Linked DNA regions of Oreochromis niloticus. The main gene of each other region encodes a partner of the protein of the gene in region 2 in a complex. Links are inferred from orthologs where the notes say so. Each region holds a gene or a part of one and is shown on either strand. Other genes may lie near its edges.

Region 1 (7,449 bases), on a different chromosome or scaffold from region 2:
ACAAAAAACATTATTATGTCAGTATAAAAGTTTTATTTTGATTGTGTGCATTATGTGGTTATGTGAGACATAAACAAAAAAATGTGTTTAATTTAATCTATTAATTTACATTTTCTTACGATGGTAGTGATCCTATGATTTGTTGTTTTTCTCATGCAGATCTGGCATTTGGCTCTACCGTTACAATAAAAAACCTCCGTATTGCTGGAGGTTATTTGCACTCTCATTGGCACTTATACCCAGAAGGAGTTGGCGCAAGGCAGCAGCAGGTCAGGCTAATTGTTGAAAACTGAAATATTTTATATATTTATATTTGTAGTTTCTTTGTTTTTTTAACTTTAAATGTTTTCTTATGATTTGTTTGCTTACAGGTGACAGCCTACCTCCATAAGGACTACAACAACTTGTGGGTGGTTCACAGACAACAAGATAATAATTGTGAGGAACTGACATTGATATATTTAACAATGTTGCCAAAGACAATGTTAAAATCCAACTAGGATAAGGAATTGTTGTTTTATTGTTTATATCTATTGTTTTGTTTTGTTTTTTAAAAAAGCTCAATCTGGCAACCCTGATCTTGTTCGCCATGGTGATATCGTTCGACTGGAGCATAAAGAGTAAGTATTATGAATGACAAGAAAAATGCACATTTTATTTAAAGTGATTCAGTCTCAGTTCCTTCCCAAATCTCTTTGTGTGTGTGTGTGTGTGTGTGTGTGTGTTTCTTTCAGGACAACACGTAACCTTCACAGTCACCTCCATGAGGCGCCTCTGACCAAGAAGCACTTCCAGGTTACAGGTTATGGCATTGTAAGGAAGGCTTTAACATAACATCTGCACTAAAAATACAGATTCAGTTGGACTTGACATATTTATTGCATATTCTGTTTTGGGGTTTTATGGGTGTTCTGTACACCAATACTAAAATTATTTTTGGTCTATTCTTAGAATGGCACAGGGGACGCCAATGACCTGTGGCAGATGGAGGTGTGTGGAGGTCGGAAGGGTGACCCAGTAAAGGTGCTGCGCAGCAAAGTTCGCTTTCTACATCGAGCTACCGGCTGTGTGCTTTACTCCTCTGGCAAAACTCTTCCAAAGTGGTAAAACTAGCATACTTTTAAATTTGAGATGACTTTGTACACAACAGGTCAAAACGCACTACAAATGTTGTTTCTGTTTAGGGGCTGGGAACAAATAGAGGTGACCTGTAGTCCCTACTTGAAGGAGACCCCAAGCTCTCAGTGGAACATTGAGGACCATATTAATCCAAAATGTATGATCAATTCATTCAATGTATTCCTATTTTGTGTTTGCACTTCTTGATGTCAGACAGCAGCTAACATGTTGTGTATTGTGTGTTCTGGCAGTACCCAACATTAGTCTGTCTGTGCTGAAGCCTAATTTTCTGGAAATCTTACTGGAGTCCCATATTGTTATGTTTAGAGTAAGTAATAATAAGAGAATAAATAAGCTCATCTGCTTTAAAAGAAAGTGCATCTTCATTTCTTTTCTTTTTATTTTATTGTCTTTTAGGGAAATAGTGGCTTAAAACCCAAAGACAATGAGATGAATTCAAAACCTTGGCACTGGCCCATCAACTACCAGGTGCATTACACTCTATATAAAATCTATTTTAGTTATATATATAAATATAAATTTATACTTTTTATCTTTTAACTTAATGTAATTTGTTTCCGTGAAGGGCTTGAGGTTTTCAGGAGTAAATGCGACAGAGTACCGCGTTTACCTGCTGGGGAACCCTGTAAGTTTGTTTTTAAGTTTTTATGCTTACAATCTCATTTAACCAGCAGATCAGTGTCCTCATGGTGAAAATGGTTTTCAGGTGGTGTGGTGGATAAATCTGGCCAGTTTGGGGTTGTATTTCACCATGGTGGCGGTGGCTTCCATAGCCACCCAAAGAGGTTTTTCACTGGGCCAACAAAGAATAGGTATGGTAAATAATGGTGGCTTAACAGTATGCTTTTGCATAGTGACTTTAAGTAAAGTAGTATTGTCCTGTGTTTCAGAGCATTCTCTTGTGCTTGTGAGAGGAGGTGGACTGCTGATGCTTGGTTGGCTCCTGCATTATGCACCTTTTTTTACGATGGGTCGTATCCTCTACTTTCATCACTACTTCCCTGCAATGCTCTTCAGCAGCATGCTAACAGGTACCAAACTGTGCTGGATTTCTGTATTCCAACTATAAAGTGCAGAGGGTAGTGCAGAGTTACAGAACTGAAGTAGAAGCCACACATAAGAAGCTTTTTTCAGCAGGTTTGGTGGGTGTAGCCAATACTTCACTTACAACTTACTTCACTTAATGGCTTGCATTAGAGCCGACAGTGTTTGGGACACAGTTATCTCAGTTTTGCATACTTGACTGACAGTTGTTGCAATTTTGGTTAAATAATTGTATTTTTTTCCTCCAGGACTGACGTTAGACATCCTTTTCAGAAGTGCTGACCTTCTACTCCACCCACCTTATTCTTATTGGTTCCAGCGAACTGGGCAGCTGCTGCTTCTGTTTAGTATTCTTTACAGGTGAGCTGAGTAGTATGAAGAATCAGCTTGTTCTTAACACTGTCAGAAACAGCCTATCATTACTGTGAGATATCTGCTACATAATGTAGTTCTTTATGATACTCCATCCATTGTTGTATACTTTGATTGATGCTCTTGATGCTCCTAATGGTTTAATAAGCCATGACGTTCTTGTAGCTGTGGATGAAAAGATTATGAATTATTAAAGGATTGTTATTGTTTTGTTGAGAATTAATGACAAGATTAATACCTACAGTCCATCATGATTGATAAATCATTTAAGTTAAAGGAAGCAGGTGCTCTTAATATGCTACATATTGTCATGTATATCATGTAGATGTAATACAGTTTTCAAGTTTGGATGGACTATCATACAGATATTCTAATAGGATTACAACTTTCTCATCTGGCTCTCAGCAAGAAGCTTCTCTGCTAATTCTTACTAAATATGAAAAGAATAATTACACTGAGGGTCTTACATGAACTTCTTGCTGCTGTGACTTTAGATCTCACAGCCCATTTTAGCACATGAATGAAAGTTTTTCATCTGCTTAGTGTAACTGACTGTGATCCATTCATTGTCTGTCAGTTTCTACCTGTTTCATCCGCTGTCCTATGGCATGACGGGTCCGCTAGCACACGAGCCGGGCAGCGCCATGGCTGGTCTGAAGTGGATGGACTCCTGGGAGTTCTAGTCTGCTTTGCAGGAAGATGACACTAATGATGTGACTTGCACCAACTGTTCTGAATATAAGGGACTTAAAACTGACAGAGTAGAGTGTTTGCACATAGAAGTGATTCTTAAAAGGTACTGATTGAATTTGTACGTGTCTTAGTATTTGTGTCACAGCATTTGCACCTGACGTTGTCTATCATGCATGAAGAATGCTTGATAAAGCAGACCTAACTCAATGCAATGTGAAAGCCAGATTGTGGTGTAAGTGGGAATCTTAACTTTGTCTCTGAGAGGCCTTAACTAACATCACAACTTCTGTTCCTAGATTTAATGTGTACTGTAATTCAAAACAATAAGCTAAAGTGCCTGAAAGGAAAAAGGTTTTAAAAAGTAAGTTTTAAAGGTTTAAATGCTACATGTCCCTGATTTTTGTTTTTTAAATTTTGTACATAGTTGGAAGCTATTAGACTGTATTTTGATTAGGGATTTTCTGATTTTACTCATTACTTAGTATTTTGGTACTGTACTTAGCCAATAGTGCTTTGTTACTCGCTATTTTTACACTAGGTACCGACTCTGTGTTTACATTTTAATGTGATCAATAAACAGTGATCCTGCATTCTGTATCTTTACTTATAAAGTTTTCTGCTTTTTTTAAGTTGAAGGAAATCTTTAAATTGTTTTTATGTTCTGTACAATAACATGAAGCATGTCTTTATTATTATATTGAGTTGAACCTTTTTTTATTTTACTGAGATTAAAATGATATTTTCAGTGTTGATAATTAAAATATGAATCACCACTTGAGATATCCCCAAAAGCTCAGAAATGTGTAGAAATCTGATAAAAGTCAAGAGTTCAAAGTATCATTCCAGAAATATCCCTGTAATAGCATAAAAAGTAATAGGGTATTGATTGTTTTAAAACATTTTTGTCCAAAATTTTAATTCCATAAAAATTATATCCAATATAATTACAAAAGGTCAAAATATCCTTAAATCTGAAAACTTTACACTGCTTGATATAGGTCCCCCTTGAAAATAATTACGTATAATATAATACATTGCTTTGGTCGCAGGTGTATAAACATATTCCTGTGGTCCCAAAGTTATATTGTTAGTTTAAATGTAGGAACCGAAGTCACCCCGATCAAAATATAACCGTCAGTTACTTAGTGTTCGTTGTATATTTTTTCTGATTTGAACTTAATACTGGGTTTATGCTCCAACATTATACCAGCGGGCCGCCTGGTGGCGTGTTTCTGAAGTACACCACATACACTCGTCAAATGTCAGAGCTGCTGCTGCCGCTGCCATTGGCTGTCGTTTATCACGTGATTATTGTGAAGATGGCGTCTCCAAATGGAGGTAAATTCTAATTCTTTACCCTGCGACGCTGTGTATAAAATGTAAAATTGAGATCTTTAAGCACATTAAACCGTTAAGAACTATAATCCTGTTTTAGCTGAAGACCCACAGACGACAGAATACGCATGTTAGTGCCGTATTTTTGCTGTTTGGACATGTTTTTCCGTTGGCTAAAGCCCTCACTAGCCCCGGCGTTCGGTCCAGTAAATGGGGAAGAAGAGCGGGTAGCAAGCTTGAATTCTGTCGTGTAGTCTGACTCACAGAGCTGAAGCTGTGGATGCTGCTAGCTAAAATATTAGCTGTTAGTTACTGCTGTACTACTAACAGGTTAAATCATCCCTCCTTAGACCAGTTTCATAACAACTACAGTGTTTTTGTTTCGGTTGTATTTCTTTCTTCTTCTTTTTTCTAACGTTTTTTTCTGTGTTGTACATCTCGTTACTCTTATTAATGGGAGCTGTGTACTTGAAATTTATCATTTTGTATGTTTAACAGTAAAGCGCCGTGTGTTTTAAAGATGACTGTAGACACTCACTGTTGTACCTCTTTCGTAATTTCTTCCATACAAATTGAGAGTAATTTGACCCAAAATTTAACATTGCAATCCATCCAATCTAGTCTTTGTGTAATTTGACATACCTCAGCCTTTTCTCCCCTTTTCCTCAAATGCACATTGCATTCTGTAAATATGCCAGGTTTGGGGGTAATAGCTCTTTGGGTTCCTTGATGTGCAAATGCTAATTTATATTGTCAGTCCGTGTTTCATTTGTCATTTCTTTGTAGGCTCAACTGAAGAAATTAGAGAAAATTATGTTTTGCAATTGGCTGCTAGTAACAAAGTGCCTAATACCTCTTGAGTTAAGTGATTTTGTATGCTTGAATGAATTCATAGATCAGTGTTAAGTGGCTTGACAAACAATCCTCTTAAAATGGTCACGTATTAATGATTAGGTGGAAAATAAGGGGAAAAGTAACAAATGGCCAAAGAAAAACTTTGAAATATCTTCACTAAATCTGGAGAACTACTGGTCAACACTGGTCAAAGTCTGGTTCAGTGGAAGGAAAATGTAAAGAAATGATGGGTGGCTCAAGACTTTTGCACTGTACTGTACATGGCATTAAACATGGAAGAAGATGCCTGGGGCTGTTAAAATAAGGTGTTATCACACGATTTGCCAGACAGACTGGCTCTGACCCAATTTTCTGCCTGTATTGTCACTACTGTGTGTAGGTCATGTTACTGCTGAGCAGATAATGGTACACAGTCAATCAGTGTTTGTGAAAGTTTGTGAAATACATTGCTGGAAAGCTGGTAAACAGCCCAGCATTTTCCACTTTTTATACAATTGTGACATGCTGTATGTATACATAGACAACTTCATCATCCCTCGTTAATTCTTAAGGCTGTTACGTCCCTGTAATTTCACTGGATGGATGGAACACCACCATTCTTACTAAACATAGATCCTTATCTGTTATTTTTTAATGGAGCGCCTTGTGACTTATAAGTCCAAAATAAGGTTTAGTGACTGTGAGTACCATAGAATTTGATATAGATGGGACCATTGTTATTCTATAAAAGACAACTTGCATCAAAATAGATTTTTTTTATTATATGATAAAGGTGATCATTCAGCACAGCTATGTATTGATTTTAGGAGACTCATGTTTCTCTGAACAAGCCACTTATTCAGCATTATTCAGTGTTGCAGGGAGAATGGAGCCTATCACAACTGTCACTGGGTGAAAGATACCCAGGGATTTTTTTTTTTTTTAGTAAAGATGTTTTTCTTCTGTGAAAATCCATCCATCTATTTAGTGCCACTTACATGTTCAGGGTTGTGGGGGAGCAGTCTTAGCAGAGATGCTCAGACCTAGCTCGTCAGATGCCTGTACCACCTGAGCTGGCTCCTTCTGATGCAGAGGAGTAGCAGCTCTAAGGGAACGCTGAAACATCATTTCACGATGTCATTCTTGCATTTGTTGCCCACAGTTCATGCCTCGTGGTTACAGTAGGAACTTAAATCTACTGGCTCTAATTTGTTTTCTTTGTCTCGATAGGTGATGATTTTGAGTCATCATTGCTGAGTTTTGAGAAGTTGGATAGAGCATCCCCAGACTTGTGGCCAGAGCAGTGTAAGTTTATCTCCTGCGCCTATGTGACTGGTTACCGTAGCATTTATTATGCATAAACTTTATTATTCTCTGATCTCTCATACAGTACCTGGAGTCGCAGAGTTCGCTGCATCTTGTAAAAATGTGAGTTAGATTCAATATGGCTGAGTTTGAGTTACACATTAGAAACATAAATAGGCTTGTCACACTTCATGATGCGTGATCTGTAACTCTTTATCACAGCCCATCTGCAATTCACCCCCAAAATGGATGTCAGATCTGGAGAGTGAGGATATTGAAATGTTGAAAGGTTGGTCCAAATAGCCAAAATTATGTTTTTTTTTCCCAGACAGATTTTTCAGTTTACTTGTTACAGTTGGTGTTAAACAGAAAGACTGGGGGACAGAGGCAGACTTACTATATAATCCTGTCAAATGGGTTAACATTTTGCTGAAGTTGGGTTAGTGCTTTTATTATGGGTCTTATTATCCTTCTGTAGAGCTGGGTAGCCTGACCACAGCCAACCTGATGGAGAAGGTCAAAGGACTTCAGAATCTAGCGTACCAACTGGGCTTAGAGGAGTGTAAGTAAACAAACAGCACACACATGCCAGTGTACAGATAATCCAGCCTTTATACCTTTAAAATCACTAAGAGTTCGAAAAGGATGTGGTCACATGTTACCACTAGATGGTGCTCATAGGCCTCTCTTGGGTTTTGCTTCTCTGTCTGGAAGAAGTAACTTCCC
Region 2 (7,700 bases):
AAACCAATGCTCTTGATTCTCTCTTGAGTTCCTATAATAGGCTACACTAATAAATCTTTCAGTAAATACTACATGTAATTCTGCAGCAAAGGTCGATGTTCAACTTTTTGAAGGTTGACCCCCATACCAAAAACAGCTCAGGTATAAACACATAATTTTTTGGACCAAAACAATCCTCTAATAAAGTTGAACTTTTAGGCTACAAAAGCTTTTAAACACCCACGTATTATATGTCTCGTCACATAGCATTACCAGGACAATGTATTAACTGCAATATACACGATCATAAGGAAGAGTGCAATCATTACCTGTGGTGTGGTGGTGACTCTCTGGCTCCTCCGTGGAGATCTGGACGGAAGACGCTGCTGCGGTGGCTCATCTTCATCTCGAAACAAACGGCTCCGCTTCGAGCTCCGTGTAGGCTGCAAGAAAAAAAATGTAAATTCAAAATATTACCAACAATCTATAAGTAACATTATTGCATTCTCCATATTAGGTGTCTGTTAGCAGTAGAAATTCTGGGATGTTGTGTTATAAATAGCCTGGCTAAAACAAATGTTATTCTGGGAACTCTCATGTATAATACGCAGGTTCTAAAACAATATCTAAGTAAACGTAAAGACCCCCATTTATGCAAAATGAGATGAAATGTATTTTCCTTCCAGTCCTTCCTTCCATTACACTGACAATAACAAACTTAAAGAGGCAAAAAATTCAACTCCTGAGCTGGAAAACAAAACGCCAAAAGACTTAACTATGCTGGTAAGATAAGCAAAGGGTGGTAACCATGCATAAACACTGACGATATATCCATAGTGAGAAAGAACCACTTAATTTGTTTATGATTCACAATGCTTACTGCCATCTATGAAACAGACCCTATTTAAATATCCACTCCTTTAAGCTTTCTTTTGGTTCTATTGAGCTGTAATTCGACGTGGCACTTTTTAGAAAATTAATATCTGCTCCAAATACACTAGCATTTTTGGCCATTGCTCTCTCACATAGGATGAAGTGACGTTCTTTCTTTTCATTTTCCAAAAAGAAATTGTGATTTTCTTTTCATTTCAAACACCGTATTACAATACTGCATTGTAACAATTAACTTCTTGGTTGCTAAAAGGAAAGAAAATATACACTGAACTACTCCCTTATTTCCCAAGGGGTCACCACAGTGGATAGTATTTTATCTGGTGCAGCTTTGACATGATTGGTATTCTTTCACTGATAAATTCCAAAACGTTCCAAAAACTTAACCGGAAATGCATCAGGAGGAATCAGCGATACTGAACAGGCCAATCACAATAGCTGCGGCTTACACTAACGCCACATTTAGTTCCATTTCAGTGGAGGTGTGCGTCATGTCATGCCTTAGGGTTTCTTCATAGGGTTTCAGAGGGATTTGCTGTTATGACATAGCTATGGCACAAATTTCCCACTGAAGCATAATTACGCAGTAAGGTGACTATGTTAACCATTATACCTTATTATTCATATTAGTAATTAAAGCATCATGTGTAATAGATTATCTGTGTTTTCGAAGTTTTCATTGTTTTCATTGCATTCTCTTACCGTGTCCATTGTGACAGAGGAATGCCGTCCCCTGGTGTTGTGAGCTCGTGGGAAGCTGTTTTTCTCATTCAGAGTGTTGGACAAACTGCCCTCTGTGAGAATACCAACATATTTATATACAAGAACACCAAAAACAGTTTCTAAATCAGTAATTATATCTTAACAAACCTTTGCCAACAGACAAAATCACATGCAAACAATAACAGGACCACTATGCCCTGTAAGCTTGCAATTAGAAACTATTACAGAACTCTGACCAACGTGATCTGACACAGATCTAATCTATATAGTGAGGAATTAGAGTCAACGTTACAGAAACACCCAGTATATTTGTAAACAGTAAAAAGCATAAATACAAGGGAATCCATACCTTTAAGACTGACGAGTGCCTCTGCTGAGGAACCTGAGGAAGAGGACAATTTAGGCTACATTACTGTAGAGCATTAAAAAGCATAAAAAAGCAATACCACATAGACTAAATCTAAAACGCATGCAACTTTGATAAATATTATTTGCTAGTGTTCTCCTTTTTAAGTTACGATACGCTCATTTTAGCTGTCACAGAACCAGTAAGATGGTGCTTTAAACACTGACAGCAGCCAGGCAGGTGAACAGGAATTAAAAATAAAGCTAGCGCACTCGGTTAGGCCTTTACCCCTAACTGGAGCTGTCAGACACGGGTGTAACATCAGCTGTGGGCAATTTGTATCGACACACGAGCCAGACAAGCTATGAGCTGTAAAATAACGTTATTTACATTAGGTACGTTCCCAGCGACCGTTTCAGGTGTAAACAGACAAATGAACTGGCAAGTTTCCCTACACAAGATCAATAATGATACATGAAGCTTAACTATAACCAGGGTAAAGGAACGCTGAAAATGAGGAAAGTGTCATGGAAAACTAAAATAAATCAGTAAAATAAAAAATAAGTCCAGCAAAACAGATAGCTTGTTAGCAGCTAGTGGCGTAGCGGCAGCCTTTTTGTTCCTGCTGTTCGCGATCTAAGGTTAGCAGACGTTAGCTCGGGGCTAAGCTAACGTTATTTGTTCACCCAGTTGTGCTAAAGTAACTTGTTCAACTCCAACATTAGCCATGGTTAGCCTCTAGCGCTAACAAGCGTTAGCTGACTTGGACAGACCCGGTGTCTGTTTGCGTCTAAAATGAGCTTATGAAGTCCGCGCAGAACCTATGATAGCCATTACATGGTCAGCGATATCGGATTTTGGCCAGTTATGTATTTTATCACTGCGGGACTGCTGATTGTTTACAATGCAAAACTCCTTGAATTTGTGTTGTTACTCACTCTCGTCTAACAGCTGGTCCATCTCCGCCATCTTGAATTAGCCGCGCCGCTTTTTCAAAGACCTTGTCAAAATGCATTCTGGGTCGGGACTCTATCTGGAGGGCGATTTGAGAAATAAAAATCCCGTAATTTGCTTAAACGGTAGCTTAAGAACTGCTTCCAGTCGTTTGTTTATCTAAACATATACATTCACTTTCTACACATCCAACTTTTACATGTTAAATGTGAAGTTAAATGCTTGGGAAACCGTTTCGTATGAAAAACTTGACTCGGAATGGGAGCATAGCAGCCAGCCATTGTTTCAGACGCCACATCAGTCATTTTATCGTTCATTTCTCCTTTACGTTTTAGTCATTGTTGGGAAAGTGTTGTGTTTGAAATGAAATGTTCTCTCTTGAGTAAATGTATTTATTTTTACCAGCAGTTATACCTAGAAGGATTTTGTGTATACTATACACAACATAAAAGACAGCATAGGATACTGCATTTATCTATTAATGAATAAATACCCAAATACATTTGGAATCTTTTTCTTAGATGTGAGGGGAAAAAAAAGATGAAAAACTACAAAAAAACCTCATTTGTGCAAATGAGTTTCTAATCTCACAGAATGTGTAAGTTTCTTCTTCCAATTTTTCCACTTTAGTATGCTCATAAATTGGTACCATTAAATACAGAAAATCCTGTTGGGTTTTTTGCATATTAACTCATTTTGTTACCCTTCAGTGCCAATGGGAAATGAGGCAAAACAGTTTCTAATGCTTAAATGTCCTGCCAAAATCAAGCCAAAGCCTGCTTTTTCATCAAGGTTAGACCATTCCCAGAAGTGCTCCTTAGCAACTGACCTTGATTTCTGCCTTCTTCAACAAACTGAAAGAAACACTTCAGGAATGAGGAAAAACATGTAATTCTTCATGTCTAACGTTTTATTTGGGTTTGAGAGAAGCAAGGAAAAGACATTAAAAAAAACGTAAACACTTAGTATGGCTGTTTTAATCTTTTACAGAGCGCCTTGCATCACATTTTTTTACTTTTTAGTGAGGAAGACAGCTAGAGATGCGAACAAAACAAGTATATACATGTCAAAATGCTTACAGTATCTTAGTCTTCACTTTAATGTGGATTCACAGCAAACTATTGGTTTGTGTACGTTTGCAGACTGGCTCTTGAACACTCCTAAACTTGCAGGACTATACCTTATGAACTACAGGAAAATAAGATCCTTCTCCAGTGACAGATTACCAACACTTTCTGAAGTTATCGCCAGACCTCTCCATGTACTGATGTATGCAATGTGAAGAAGCCAGTATTTAGGTACCTAATGTATTACAAAGGAAGTCTGCCACTTAATAAACCTGGCGAAAACACAATAAAGTGACAAGAGATTTCCAAGGATCCACCATGAAGGACGGTTTAGTATCACTCCTTTTTTTAAACATCTTCGGTTGCAGAGAATGAAGCCCAAGCATTTTGGAGGCAACAGTGGTTTTTTTTTTCCTTTCTCTATGAAGAAGGTTCGTACGCAGCCCCTCTCACCACAGGGATGTCTGGTAGTTAAACTTGATCTTCAGAAGATACTTCAGATTTACCTGTGCTACATCATACACGATGTACCTGAGGGAGCACGGTTAAAGAAAACAGGTGGCACAGATGATCAAAAAATAAAAAGTTACAAATTAAGCTGAAAACACAAATACCCTGACAATTTATTTTGTGGTGACTGCTGTTAGAACATAAACACAACCCTTCAACTGTCTCATCTTCATGTCTTCACTCCTATAAGCAGTGTAAATGAGTCGATTTATGCATGACAGCTGGGTGAGCTACACAATGAAAAGTAGGTTAGACAATATTCACCTATTAAAAGACAGAAAGCTATAAAACTATGTTTCCATGGGTGAACTCACTGGCCTTTTATTAATTATACCTTATTTGTACTGCATGTTGAAAGTGACTTAACTTACCTTCCCTATTGTAAACCTCTCTTTGATCTTTGACGTGTAAATGCACCAAGTTGCTGCCATGCGACCGGATCATTAGATTTTGTATTAATGACAAATGAACAGATACACCTAATGAAATGGCCGCTGACTGTAAGATAGAAATTTAACAAATTTGACTCACCTTTTAACTGCACAGGTTATGTACAGACAAGCAGGTAAAAAAATCATTACACATATAACCAAACAAACTAATATTAGAGGATACTCGTTGTACAGCAGACTTGTGTCATCAATATTAGTGTGGACTCCTTTTCCCAGAGGCACTTGCACTCCATTTAAAGTGACAGTGGCATTTGGATCGGGAGCAGTTCTACCCAAACCTGGAATAAAAAAACCCAAAGTGAATATTATTATATGCACACACACACACGCAGTTTTAAAAACTGACAGACACAAAGGTAAATATTTCCTGGTGGGATGAATTTCATCGCGTTGTTAAGAACTACGCTGAGAAGTGTGGATCTAAATTACAGTTAGAGACACAGACTAAACAGAAATATAAAGCTTTAAGCACAATGTTTGCCATGTGAACCAAACACTAAGAAAAATAATACTAATTAAAATGTTGCAACCCATTATGTTTCTCACCTTTAACACTGTGCTTGCCCTTAGGTAATTTTGTAATATGAGAAGCCTTCTTCAGTTCATGCCTGCATTAATTAAAAAGGAGGTTGCATTTATTTACACAGTCAGGCCAACATTTCAAAGGATGAAATATATATTTTTTTGCATTCAGACCGTCACTTACATGTTTCCTAGAGCAACCTCGCCGAGCAGAATGAGGCCTACAGGATCTGACTGGGAGGTGTGGCAGTAGTTTGCACTCTTGGACACCATGTCAGCAAAGTACACACCTTTGCCAAACATGTAACCAGTCTGGAGAAAATTAAGCAGGACTGTAATGTTATGCAGGACTAAACACTAGAAACTATGGGTAAAGTTGGGGTATTTATTAAAGGAGAGGTTTTTAATTCTTCACATCTTATCATCAAGCTGGCTTCAAAACAACACCCACCACTGGGGCCTCTGGAGGGGCAATGCGGAGACCCTGAGACAGAATACCGGCGTAGTTGGTGGTGCGAGAGCCGTGCCACAATAGCTGGCGATTGTGAAGCTCCTCGAATGGACGATATCGCTGGTGCTCTCCCTCTCTGACAATTTTAAATATCTAAAATACAGAAACACAATCAGAAAACAAACTAAGTTTCTAAATCTAACCATTAAAATGAAGCGGTTTTCCTGCTTAAACCCGTTTTTACCAAGTTAATCAATCAATAAATTAAAAAAGAAAAAGAAAAAAAAGACTTGCCTCTTGTACTTCCAGTGTGTACGTGTTGTGTGTAGCAGCGTGGGTGTTCTTAACGTATTGCAAGATGATCTCAGCTTCACTTGTGGTCTTGTCAACAACCTGTAAAACAACAGATGTGTTACATGCATTTTTTTGTTTTTAAATGTCAAAACTTAAATCGATCATCAGGGCAAAAATGAAACCTTGCACACCGTTGATGATTAAGAAGAAAACTTTACTTTCTAAAGAGCCGTACTCCTTACCTCAATCTTTGTCTTGAGGTTCTCATAGTTTATGTCGATGGGGTCTTTCTCATTGTCCTGGGCTCCTCCTCTCAGTAAGCTGTAAGCCACTTCAATATCCAACAGGTTGTCCAACATCTGAACTTTAGCCTAAACAGTGATGCATTAAAGATCAGCCTTTTTAAACTCTGCATTAGGCTTAGCGGCGACATGACAAAGAAAGGTCAAACTCTAGATTGGGCAGTTTATGAGTCCTTACTTGAATGTAGTCCAGGTTGTTGAGCAGTGGAGGCTTCTTCATGCCAAAGTCATGAGGTATTAGAGTATAAAAGCGATTGGAGAGATCCAGTATCTGCGCCTCAGACACACACTCTGACACAGCCTTTAACAAAAGTAAATTAAAAATGTAAATGTTGCATGATCAGGAGCTGCACAGATCTCATCCAACCACTGGTACACAAGGACTAGTTGTTATGTCCAAAATTCATGCCAAACGATAGTATTAAAATGGATTTCAAAGCATTACAGAGTTATATAAAGAGAAATCCAACATAAATACTCATGCAACTCTCAGAGGAGCTGTTGACTGTCACTGACCTGCTGTACTTCAGTGAGGAGAGCATAGGCACTCTGGATTTGCCTCTTGCTCAGCTTACCAAGTGGCATCTTCTGGAGGTCAATCTGTAGACAGAAGAAGAATAAATGAGCCTGTCAAGTGCAAAAATACTGGTGGATGCCAGTGCTACCCCTCAGTATTCTAGTAGGTCCGTATGGTATCAGTTTCAAAATCGTATGTTGCCTTGTTCTCGAGTTATCACATTCACAACCTTGTGTTTCTATGCCAGCTGCCCCCCGCCCCCGAGCAGGGTCAGCCTTTTACAGCTGAAGGGTAATAATAATAAGTAGTAATGCTCACAGAGCACTTAACATCATTATAAATTAACTAATTGCATTAGAAGAGTTATCTAATCTGCTGCTAAAATAAAAAGCACTTAAAATGTTCTCTTTGTGAATGAAGACGAGTATTCTCCTTAAATTGTTTAATTTCTTAAACATCAGTAAATTATTTTTATGTCTGTGACAACAGCCTAAAAAGTCAAAAACTAAAACACATTTTTATTTATCCAGACGTTAATCCACAGCATCAGACGGGATTTTTTTGTTTTTTTTAATATACTTCTTAAATTTGTACTTCTAAGTCAAAATATTACTGTATACTGCAAATGTTTTATCCATCTGACTTGAATGAATGAACTTGCGAAAATGTGAAGTAAATACCACATCGGGCAA

Evidence for each region.
Region 1: the proteins of lin9 (region 2) and lin52 are in contact, whole or in part, in a crystal structure (PDB 6C48), measured with the Homo sapiens proteins. The link is inferred for Oreochromis niloticus from reciprocal best matches to the Homo sapiens genes LIN9 and LIN52. Residues at the interface, in NP_001353174.1 of Homo sapiens: Leu335, Gly336, Phe338, Phe342, Leu343, Ile344, Val346, Thr347, Leu349, Ser350, Lys351, Leu353, Met354, Lys356, Lys357, Ile360, Leu363, Arg364, Asn367, Thr368, Ala370, Glu371, Lys374, Ile382, Phe384, Gln385, Tyr388, Ala389, Val392, Leu395; in NP_001019845.2 of Homo sapiens: Asp61, Met64, Leu65, Leu68, Gly69, Leu71, Thr72, Thr73, Leu76, Met77, Val80, Leu83, Gln84, Leu86, Ala87, Leu90, Asp93, Glu94, Glu97, Met98, Arg100, Gly101, Leu104, Asn105, Ile106, Leu107, Glu108, Pro110.

Annotation. Positions count from the first base shown.
Region 1 is NC_031983.2:9,853,311-9,860,759, reverse strand, and holds the start of lin52 (protein lin-52 homolog), read left to right. Parts: upstream 1-4,439; coding exon 4,440-4,587; intron 4,588-6,648; coding exon 6,649-6,723; intron 6,724-6,808; coding exon 6,809-6,846; intron 6,847-6,945; coding exon 6,946-7,012; intron 7,013-7,201; coding exon 7,202-7,285; intron 7,286-7,449. Other genes in the region: pomt2 (protein O-mannosyl-transferase 2), read left to right, coding at 160-269, 372-438, 560-620, 735-813, 952-1,103, 1,185-1,276, 1,371-1,447, 1,537-1,608 and 5 more.
Region 2 is NC_031980.2:10,100,220-10,107,919, reverse strand, and holds the start of lin9 (protein lin-9 homolog), read right to left. Parts: upstream 3,022-7,700; 5' UTR 2,909-3,021; coding exon 2,878-2,908; intron 2,791-2,877; exon of another isoform or gene 2,330-2,790; intron 1,976-2,329; coding exon 1,943-1,975; intron 1,665-1,942; coding exon 1,573-1,664; intron 423-1,572; coding exon 309-422; intron 1-308. Other genes in the region: parp1 (poly [ADP-ribose] polymerase 1), read right to left, coding at 4,410-4,491, 5,086-5,200, 5,469-5,530, 5,629-5,756, 5,896-6,048, 6,190-6,288, 6,432-6,560, 6,670-6,792 and 1 more. UniProt on the Homo sapiens protein: Acts as a tumor suppressor. Inhibits DNA synthesis. Its ability to inhibit oncogenic transformation is mediated through its association with RB1. Plays a role in the expression of genes required for the G1/S transition.